Linked DNA regions of Arabidopsis thaliana. The protein of the gene in region 1 interacts with the protein of each later gene in a pairwise test. Each region holds a gene or a part of one and is shown on either strand. Other genes may lie near its edges.

Region 1 (3,760 bases):
CATGTGAAAATGTAATAATCAGAAGACAAAATATAAGTTAATAATATGTCATATATATAATAATAGAAATATATGTTCTTTTCGAATTAAAATTAAAAGGTCTTAATTTTTTACAATTGCAAAAACTTTAAACTGAAAAAATGATTTAATCTTCTGGAATGTACATTATATAATATCCGCCACCCTACTTGCTACCCCTAGCTAAAAGCCAAACCGATGGAAGACTCGCTTGCATTAAATTATGCACTAGCTTAATCTACTTTTAAACTCTCTTATAATACATTTAATTCCTAATTTCTATCGCCATTTTATATTTTTACTGATATCAATATTCGAAGGGTCCATGCCTATGATTCCATGTCATACATAATATTTCCTTTCATACCTACATTCATTTTAATGAAAACCTTAAATATATATCCAAAAGCTATACATTTATGTAAACTAAACTGGTATAATAATTTTTGAAATATGTGTATGTCTACTGATTTACTATTTGATTAGTTCGTAGTAAATATATTATAAATTGTTTAAACATAAAAACAAAAAAAATCATGTAACTAGATAATTTTCTTGACGAAGATTCGAATTAACAACACAAAAAAGTTCATTTTCTGATATCGCAATGGTCTAATTAATGGTTGTTGAATAGTTTATCTTTTCCACGTTTCATAAGCTTTTTTGGTACGCGACATCCATATTGAAAAATGTCTGTCTACACTGAGCTCAATCCAATGAAATTTGTTGTGAATGAGATATATGCATTCACGGATTTCTAAAAAATATGAAGTCCATGACATCCATTGAAACATTTGACAAAATAAAAATATAAAATATGAAGTCATTACAACGTAGAGTAAGGTTTCTAAAAACCCCACTCTCGTTTCGTAGAAGCCCCACTACCACCTCACTTTAATTTCATTCATTATCTCATTTACGTTGATACTTTAAATTCATTTTTCCATATAAACTTGTAAGTATGAAATTTGTACTTAGTATATATTTTATCTATCTTTCCATGATGAACTTAAATATATTACAGTTTGCCTAGCCTTTTTAGCTCAGCTATATATATATATATATATGCTAATGTTGTTACGATGTTTATTGTTTTGTGTCTATATCTTATTTACTTTTTTGAATTATTAATAAAATGGAACAATTATACATATAGATTATAGATACATATATCTAAATATAATATATTGTATCTATATATATTAATACAAATTTTAAAGAACTGGCGGGTTTCTAAATTCTAACATATGTACTGTAAGTTCAGCTTCTTACTAAGTCATAGGAACATGGAGAGCGTTGGCAAAATCATGGTCAGTTTGTTTTGCATTCATAATTGAAGACATAGTAGTATCATGCAATGAAGATATGGTGGGCCAAATATATCATAAAAAAAATAGCGAAACAATAAGAGAACGTTCGTGAAGCTGAAGCATATGAAAAACACGTAAATATATTTATGACGAGTGACATAGTAAGCATACGTGATATTATTATTTAATTAGTAATATAGGCCACCAATCAGAATTCTTTGTCTCAACGATGAATAAATTAACTATAATAATCCAAATTTTTAACATTGTTTTAAGAATATCCGTTATTCAATTAGTCTACCTATAACAATGAATTATTATGGATCCTTTATCGCTATGCCTTGATCAGGAGAATTAGATTAGTTACACTTTCGCAATTTTTGTAGCGATGGATTGGAACAAAAACCAAAACAAAATATAGACTATTTACACATAAATTATACATGAAATCAACTTAATTTGTTATTCTCTAAAGTTTAGATTGTCTTTATAAAATACCAATCATATACCTAACTAAAACTAATGAATCTTTAACGTGCATGAGATGGTGCATGTGCAAATAAAACTATAAAGAAAACCATGATATATTTTTTCTAAGAATGATAGTTTTTGGGAATTTTAGACTTTCGGTCTATATTTTTCGTATGTCCACACCAATTGTTGATATTGCATTTAAAACATTAATTATTATTTTTTCCAAGTATAATTGAACTAGTAACCATGAGGTCCATGACATCCATTTGAAAGATGTCAATTCGTAATATTGTTTCAAAATATTTTTTCGTTTATAATACATAAACTTTAATTTTTCCTGTAAAAGATATCAACTGTTCTTTTCATTTGTGTTACAACCCAATAATTATTAAATATTTGAAACTTTAGTATTTAGAAAAAATACATAAAACTAATAGATAGATATTTTATTTTATTTTGAAACAAAAAGCTAGAAATGGAGAGTGAGAGAAAGGTCCAAAGGCACGGCTAAGAAAACAAAACCGTGGACACCCTGTCCTCAATTTGACAAGTCTTTGTCTCCTCCTTAACTCTCTTCTTCTCTCTCTTTGTCTTATTCTAGTTTGGTCTCAACTCCCAAAAACGATGACGTTTCATTCCTATATAGTCGTCCTCTCTTCTTCTTCTCCTCCTCTTATCTCTACTCAACACCACTCAATTTCATCTCTCTTTTTCCCTTCCATTGTTAGTATAAAAACCAAGCAAACCCTTAATCACTTTTCATCATCATATATCACCTTAATCCACATGCATACACATATCTAGTCTTTTTGATATATGGCAATTGTATCCTCCACAACAAGCATCATTCCCATGAGTAACCAAGTCAACAATAACGAAAAAGGTATAGAAGACAATGATCATAGAGGCGGCCAAGAGAGTCATGTCCAAAATGAAGATGAAGCTGATGATCATGATCATGACATGGTCATGCCCGGATTTAGATTCCATCCTACCGAAGAAGAACTCATAGAGTTTTACCTTCGCCGAAAAGTTGAAGGCAAACGCTTTAATGTAGAACTCATCACTTTCCTCGATCTTTATCGCTATGATCCTTGGGAACTTCCTGGTAAATATACATTCACATAAACACACATAAATCATCTCAAACTATTTGGAAATCTTAATTTCTATTCATATGTTAAGATCTTTCTTCTCTCTTATCACTTTCTCTCTCTATTTCTTTTTTTTTAACCTATATATGTACCTACCTCCTTATGAAGTATTACTATGTCGATCGTTAACAATTCTCAATATCTTTAAACGCTTCTCCCTCTTTAGTTTCTTTCTTAAATTAACCTAATTAAACAACCTACATATATATCATAAGATATACAAATATGTGTATGTTTTCATAATTAGCTTATGTATGTTTAATCATAGATATATGTATATGCAGCTATGGCGGCGATAGGAGAGAAAGAGTGGTACTTCTATGTGCCAAGAGATCGGAAATATAGAAATGGAGATAGACCGAACCGAGTAACGACTTCAGGATATTGGAAAGCCACCGGAGCTGATAGGATGATCAGATCGGAGACTTCTCGGCCTATCGGATTAAAGAAAACCCTAGTTTTCTACTCTGGTAAAGCCCCTAAAGGCACTCGTACTAGTTGGATCATGAACGAGTATCGTCTTCCGCACCATGAAACCGAGAAGTACCAAAAGGTATAAATTCTACTATAACTCTATATATATCCTATTCATACATACATAGATATAACCCTAGCTAGGTGGTGAGGCCTTTAAAATTGAAATTAATCCCTAGACAGTTTGAATTTTTTCTTTTTTGACTAGTTTTATTTATTTATTTTGGAATTGATTCGATAAGATCAAAAATACTTGTGAATGGACTAAATGTCAGGCGGCGTTTGCGCTTAAATCCAGAAAAATGTTCATGTCATATGCGTGAACTCTTT
Region 2 (3,648 bases), on another chromosome or scaffold:
TTATTCTTGGGTTACTTTTCTGATGTCAATATTGAAATCAATTAATTTATTCATTTTCGGTACGTGTAAGAAGTTTAAAGTATTTTACCACAAAAAAATGAAGTTTAAAGTAAAGCCAAAAGAGATACAATGTCCAGGTTTGAAGTTTAAAATAGAGCCAAAAACTTTGAACACGTGCGGGATATCAAATAATCAGTTATGCATAGTTTTGGATGGGCTTAAGAAAGAATAAATAATTTTGTGTCCTACTGGACTCAGGATGCATGTGATGATGTGTAGTGTTCTAATAGAATTTAGTTGCGTATCCGTTCGAATAATTATTTTCAACACCTCCTACTTTTGTTACATTGTTTTAAATGACTATTGACAAAATAAAAGTAAATGTAAATAACTAAAACAGAAAAGATGTGAGAAAAACTAGGAAATTCTTTTTTTTGAAGAATTATTAAATTTGCTAGATTTGGATAATCGATTCAACATTTGGAAAAGAAAAAAAATATCTAAGGATGGTTGAAAGATAGTTTATGATCAAACTAGCCAGGATTTTAGAGGGGTCATCAGTTTTCTGAACATTTATATGTTGTTTTCCGATAATACTATAAATTTGATCAACTAATTAGATGACTTAAAATAATGTAATTGGGATAATGTTTAAGAAAATATTAGGTAACTCATATAATTTAAGAGTTATAATTTGGTTATAATTTGCACCAAATTTGAAATATATTTCTACTATAAGATAACTAGAAATAGTGAAGAAAAAAACAAAGGAAACTAGAAAAAATGAAAAAATGGCACATGAAGTATCTTTTTTGTTTGAGAAAGAAGTTGAAAGCAGATAAAGCCAAATTATCTTCTAAACATGAGATGGCTCGAAATTATTTGTTGTTTGGGATTCAAGGGGGCATGTATCTTGAATCCTTCCAACCAACAATTTTCTTTAACCATGCTTTTGGCCAAAAGATTTTCTTTAATAATAATTAATAATAGCTTCCTAAGATTATAGGATAATGATTTGATATTTTATGTAATCATATTTGCAATACCTAAGCATGAAAATGTTTTGTTGAGTTGATCCAGCAGTTATTTTGGAATATGGCTTAATCATTTTCACATCGATCTTGTTATTTCTGTTCGTGAAATGTGAACTTTCGCAGTTATTTGTTTTATTCATAAGTTGTTTTAGATCAAATAAGTGGAGTCCACTTAGAAATTATAAGATGGGAATTTTATTTGCATATCAAAATTATCTATAAAAATTTTAGTCAACTGATTTTTAGTTTTCTACTAAAATCGCCATCTTATTTTCTTCTAGATTCAATTTGATCTGAATGTGGCATGTAGGTTGATAAAACTTATCAAATAGCATCAAATCAGTATTTTCTAAAACTTTTTACATCATCATAAATCTTTCACTTATAAAATATAATATCTTGGGTACACCAAAGTAATCCTGATATATACTACAAAATATAACATTTTAGTTGTTTTCATATGTGGTTAATCTTTTTTAGGTCGTACATGATTCATAAACCTTACCGTCATAAAAAGAAAAATAAATTATATTTAAACTAAGAAATGTGATATGATGCAAAAGTGACAAAATTTCGATGAATCATGTGATGATAATACGAAATGATATACCTAACCTACACTGCTCATTCTACATTTGAAGAATATATACCTAAATATACATACCAATTCTGGGATAATTACATAATATACAGTTTCATATTAGTCTCACGTAATTACGATTCACGACAGTAAGAAGATTAGTTTAAACGGTACAAAACAATTCATATATTACGAAAACATTAAATATCACACGAAGAGAAGAAATATGCAAAACGTCTTTGCTCGAATCTTCGACGAAGCAACATAGTTTTTCATTTGAGTGTAACATTATTTTTCGTAAATTCCCATTTCACCCTTTTATTACATGACATTTGTCTTTCACTGAGACAGTAAAAACTCAAGTCTAATTTGGACATTTGCATATACATACTCATTTTTTTCTCTATATATATAGACCATGTCAATCCACTAACGATCCCTAACCGAAAACAGAGTAGTCAAGAAACAGAGTATTTTTTCTACATGGATCCATTTTTAATTCAGTCCCCATTCTCCGGCTTCTCACCGGAATATTCTATCGGATCTTCTCCAGATTCTTTCTCATCCTCTTCTTCTAACAATTACTCTCTTCCCTTCAACGAGAACGACTCAGAGGAAATGTTTCTCTACGGTCTAATCGAGCAGTCCACGCAACAAACCTATATTGACTCGGATAGTCAAGACCTTCCGATCAAATCCGTAAGCTCAAGAAAGTCAGAGAAGTCTTACAGAGGCGTAAGACGACGGCCATGGGGGAAATTCGCGGCGGAGATAAGAGATTCGACTAGAAACGGTATTAGGGTTTGGCTCGGGACGTTCGAAAGCGCGGAAGAGGCGGCTTTAGCCTACGATCAAGCTGCTTTCTCGATGAGAGGGTCCTCGGCGATTCTCAATTTTTCGGCGGAGAGAGTTCAAGAGTCGCTTTCGGAGATTAAATATACCTACGAGGATGGTTGTTCTCCGGTTGTGGCGTTGAAGAGGAAACACTCGATGAGACGGAGAATGACCAATAAGAAGACGAAAGATAGTGACTTTGATCACCGCTCCGTGAAGTTAGATAATGTAGTTGTCTTTGAGGATTTGGGAGAACAGTACCTTGAGGAGCTTTTGGGGTCTTCTGAAAATAGTGGGACTTGGTGAAAGATTAGGATTTGTATTAGGGACCTTAAGTTTGAAGTGGTTGATTAATTTTAACCCTAATATGTTTTTTGTTTGCTTAAATATTTGATTCTATTGAGAAACATCGAAAACAGTTTGTATGTATTTTTGTGATACTTGACTTTATCAATTTCAAGTTAGTGTAAAAGTCTTTGTCTCTTACTATTCAACTAGTAAGAAAACTCTCATTTTTCTTATTTATCGTAATGAGGATTGTCTTTAAGCATGTGCTATTAGAGTATTCAAACATGTTTTAAGTTAACATAATAATTTTTTTGCACAAAGCCTACAAATAGTGTAAGATGGTCATAATCAATTGCTCATAACAATATACAAAGACAGTTCTTTTTATTGTTCTGTAATATATGAGTCCATGAGTATTGAGGAGCGACTCTATATAGTAGTATAATTTATTTTTGTTAATCATTAATTAGGAGCCACCTAAATGGCTAACTATAATAATGGAGTATAAGTTAAAGTGTTTTAATTTTGTTTCAAATAGACCACAACTGAAAAAGATGGTCAGGTAGTGTAATGAAAATCTTGACTTCTTTCGGATTAGGTGGCAACTTCTAGAATTTTTGTGCTATTTTACATATATTTTTAATTCATGATTTAAAGTAGCTATGGATTTTCTTGTGACTTTCTAAGGGAATTATCTAAGAATAATTGAATAAAAAAGATTTAAATATGCAGAAACTTGAACTTTTTTTTTGCAATGAGATGCATCTGTAACTAGAACTTTTGTCCGATAAAACGTTTTAGGTAAAAAAAGTAGTCACATAATCACATTATTGTTTTGGTAGTTGAGGTCACCAGAACGATCTGTCATAACTTTTGGGTTTGCTTGCGTATGGGTCATGACCAAGTGCATTG
Region 3 (3,760 bases), on another chromosome or scaffold:
CCTTCTCCATCGATGTACTTGATGGATGAACCAAATTCAAGGTTATTATCCTTCACCACATTGGCTGGGATCAACTACACACAAAACAAAATCACCGCAACATGTTAAAGCCATACTGAAAGTAAAACAGAGATAGTAACTGAATCTGAAGTCTTATATTCGTCACTTTTACCAGTTCATAAATCCTGTTCTTGAGCGTAGTCGGAAAGTGTGGATTAGTTAAAGCTTCCACGTCCAAGTTCCCTTCAAAAACTGAAACAAAACAATCTTTAGTATATTAGATTGTGTTTTTGGATTAACAATGTTTATGTACTTTTGAAAAAAGACTATCAAACCTGCAGCATCGGTTGCAGTCTCTTCGTCAATCGGATAAAGACTCTGGCTGATTTCTTCATCTTCATCAAAGCTACCATCATCATCTTCATCTTCATCTTCATCTTCATCATCATCATCTTCAACAACATCAGTTGAGTCTTTTTCGTCTTCCACAACAGAATCAGAATCAGAATCAGAAAGTGGTATGGCTTGTATTTCAGCTCTGACCTCTTTGCTACCCCAACGATCAAAGACACTCACTTCAAAGGTACGATGACCATCATACACAAATGTCATGAACTCTCCGTTCTTCAGCTCATGTTCCTCTGCGAATTTTGGCCATCCTCTAGTAAGATACGCAGCTCCGCTTATTTTCTTCAAGCTCACAGTCCAAAGTTTTCCTCCAAGACCTTGGAGCTTCACTGTCTTTGGCAATGGATCAGCAAGAAATGCCATAAAAGGCAACGGAATCATCTGATGAACCAAACACAAATGTCAAACATCAGATTACTTGTTACAACTTAAAACAAAACTCAACTCAACTCCACAAGTAAAATGTCATCAAAGTCATAGAGTCTCTCTGTTTCAAGCTAAGCAGTCACAGTTTTGACCTATGCTTTATTGAACGAGATACAAAGACACAGATCCAGAGTTTTTCATCACTTCCAATTTCACAGCTCGTTTTCTCATTTCCGTTTAGAAGCAGAAGAAAGATTGAAAACCCGTAAACCCAACCCCAACTGCTAAACTAGCTAAAGATTATATCTTTCTCATAAAGCCATAACTTTCATACTAATACTTGAGATTCAAAGTCTGAAACTTTTCCTACTACAGAAACAAGGAAGAAGAAAGAAAGAGAGAGAGAGGTTCTTACCAACGATTCAGAAGCCGATTCAACGAGGAACACTTTGAAGAAACGAGGATACAATTCGCTATCGTCAGCCATGGAATGATGTTGGAAACGAGAGAGAGAGAGAGAATCGAAATGGGTTTCTTAGCTAGTGAGAGGAAGATAACGTTGAAGGTTCAGAGTTTAAAGGAGAAAGAGAGAGAGAAATGAGTCAAAGAAGACCTCTGCTGCGTTCTTGTACAAAACAGAGTACTGTACTATCTCAAAGCTTTATGATTTTTGCAGTTTAACCCATAAATTCTAGTAAAAAAGAAAAGAGAAGCTGATTTCTAATTGGTGCTTGACTTCTGAAACTTGTTTTCGATCGGTACTTACGAATCAGAGACTATTTCCATCTCTTTCCTCTGTTTTTTGTTTTTTCATTTCTTTTTTTTCTTCCTCATTTTCATCTTCGTTTAACAAAAATAACTCTTATCGTTGTTAAATTGACAAAAAACAATAAACCAAAATGTTATTCAAGACCTCTTTAAGTTTTTAAAGTGAAGCTAATATTTTCAAACGTTTACAAATGCTTTTTAGATAAATAATTATTTATCTAACAAACACACAAATACTCTTGCATCTATACAAATGACACAGAAAATGCATGCATGTGAGGAATTCAATATTCTAATACAGTAAATAAGAGAAATAATTATCAAAAAGAAAAACGAAGTTTGCGTGTTCTTCTGTTTATAGATTTGAATGAAACATCATTCTCTGCAAGCCAGGGATTGGTTCTGTTTTCTATGGTGAGATTGTAGCCCACTCTATCCACTGTTGCGTTCATATATCTTTCACTTCATGTTCTTATTATATACTTCATTGGACTGTTTTGTTTTCAGATTTAAACCATTTACATTTCGATTAGAAAGAGTATCTTATAAACCAGATTAATTCGTAAAATTTCATAATACAAGAACTCGTTAGATTAAAGATTCTTTACGCACAAATTTATAATGTGCTTCCTTTTTCTGGAGGATGGGATACATAAGAATCTAACATGCAGAGAAATTCCTATTTGTAAAAAAGAAAGCTCCATTGCATGGAGAAAACTATTGATAACTTCAAGCATCTCATTCTCATCATCCCTCAAGTTGATCTTCTGCATCGATTTTGGAATACAATTTGTTCGGCAGTTTAGGAGACGAGACAGAGACAACCTTTGAACTTGCCTTACTTTTTGAATTCGTCGACTCTTGTATTGGAGACCTCGCAGGTTGAGTCTTTCCTCCAGACTTCTTACTGGCAGATGAAGATGATCCATGTCTTGCCTGTTTAACAAAGAGAGAAAGAAATAGAGACATCATTTACTTGATCAGATTCCAGACAGAAACAGATCTTGTGCCAGTTGGTTCCAATCTCAAGGAACAACAATTGCATATTTGGTCTCTAGTTTGTTCATGAATTTTGGGGACTTACTCCATCAAAGAAGCCGATTTTTGGTGATGGCACACGGAGACCTGATGGTTTTGCGGAAGCTGAAGGAACCAAACCACCGTTGATAGCTGAAACTCGTTTTGTGCCTTCCTTAGCATCAGCTTGGACAACAGATGTATCTTTGGAGTTCTTGAGAGGTTTCACAGTTTGTACTGTATTATCATTTGCAGGAACCTTTTCACGAGAGACTGTTTTCTGGTTACCATTAGCCATTTTACTAGTTTCAGAAGCTCGTGATGACTCTGATGAATAGTCACTGATCGAACCAGCAGTTGGTACACTGGAGGAAAGCTTGGGCTTGGATGTCTTATTGGTTTGTTGGGGTGGGATTCTTGGCTGGCCCATAATACCTCTAGATGTAGATCGATTTGCCAATGGCTGGGAAGATAATCTGGAACTTGAATCATTCTTCTTCTTTATCGAATCTATAGAAGGTTTGTGAGAAGCGCTAGATGAAGCACTGGCACAGCTCTCTAGTGAAGAACATGAAGAGGTCATTTCATTCTTTGAGGCATCTGAAGAACGTGAAGAAGACTTAAAAGGCACACCAGGTTTTGGTAAGACGGGTTTAGCACGTCGCGACATGGATATTCTTGGACCCAGAGGCTCTTTACCTGTACTATTCAAGGTCATACAATATATTTCAATTTTAAAAAAACAAGTGTAAACTTCTTTAAGAACAAGTTCTGACTAACCCGCAGGTAATTTGGAATTCTTTTCTTGTTGCGTTTTGCTTATATCTAATGATGACCTGTTCGTCGATGTTGTTGACAAGGGCCTGACTTTGCTGAGTCCGTTGGGTGGCTTGGAAATGGATGTACTGAGACCTCTTGTAGCAACAGGCTGCAGAAAATATTTTATTTTTTTACAATATCCAATATATTCATTATGTGGTTCACTATAGGGTAAGCTATTAAAAGTGATGACACGCTTCTGATTCATAGATTCAACAGAGCCAATTCAATTTTATTAGTCCAGCTCATTACCAATGGAAACCTAGGAAAAAACCATTATTCTAGTTATGAAAGACTAAGAAACAAGCCCATTTAATAAATATGCACCTGAGAAACTGAATGAAGATACTATACCTGTTTGGTTGCCTTCCCTGGTCCTTGT

Evidence for each region.
Region 2: the proteins of LOV1 (region 1) and ERF1 interact in a two-hybrid assay, tested with the Arabidopsis thaliana proteins (one large-scale study listed by BioGRID).
Region 3: the proteins of LOV1 (region 1) and AT3G53310 interact in a two-hybrid assay, tested with the Arabidopsis thaliana proteins (one large-scale study listed by BioGRID).

The regions. Positions count from the first base shown.
Region 1 is NC_003071.7:645,426-649,185, forward strand, and holds the start of LOV1 (NAC domain containing protein 35), read left to right. Parts: upstream 1-2,112; 5' UTR 2,113-2,579; coding exon of another isoform or gene 2,580-2,618; coding exon 2,619-2,910; intron 2,911-3,052; exon of another isoform or gene 3,053-3,240; coding exon 3,241-3,509; intron 3,510-3,760. Other genes in the region: AT2G02455 (uncharacterized protein), read right to left, coding at 2,580-2,792. UniProt on the Arabidopsis thaliana protein: Transcription factor that acts as a floral repressor. Controls flowering time by negatively regulating CONSTANS (CO) expression in a GIGANTEA (GI)-independent manner.
Region 2 is NC_003074.8:8,293,608-8,297,255, forward strand, and holds ERF1 (ethylene response factor 1), read left to right. Parts: upstream 1-2,009; 5' UTR 2,010-2,097; coding exon 2,098-2,754; 3' UTR 2,755-2,997; downstream 2,998-3,648.
Region 3 is NC_003074.8:19,767,108-19,770,867, forward strand, and holds the start of AT3G53310 (AP2/B3-like transcriptional factor family protein), read right to left. Parts: upstream 1,680-3,760; 5' UTR 1,262-1,679; coding exon 1,190-1,261; intron 790-1,189; coding exon 336-789; intron 253-335; coding exon 173-252; intron 75-172; coding exon 1-74. Other genes in the region: AT3G53320 (mediator of RNA polymerase II transcription subunit-like protein), read right to left, coding at 2,290-2,478, 2,627-3,258, 3,340-3,487, 3,733-3,760.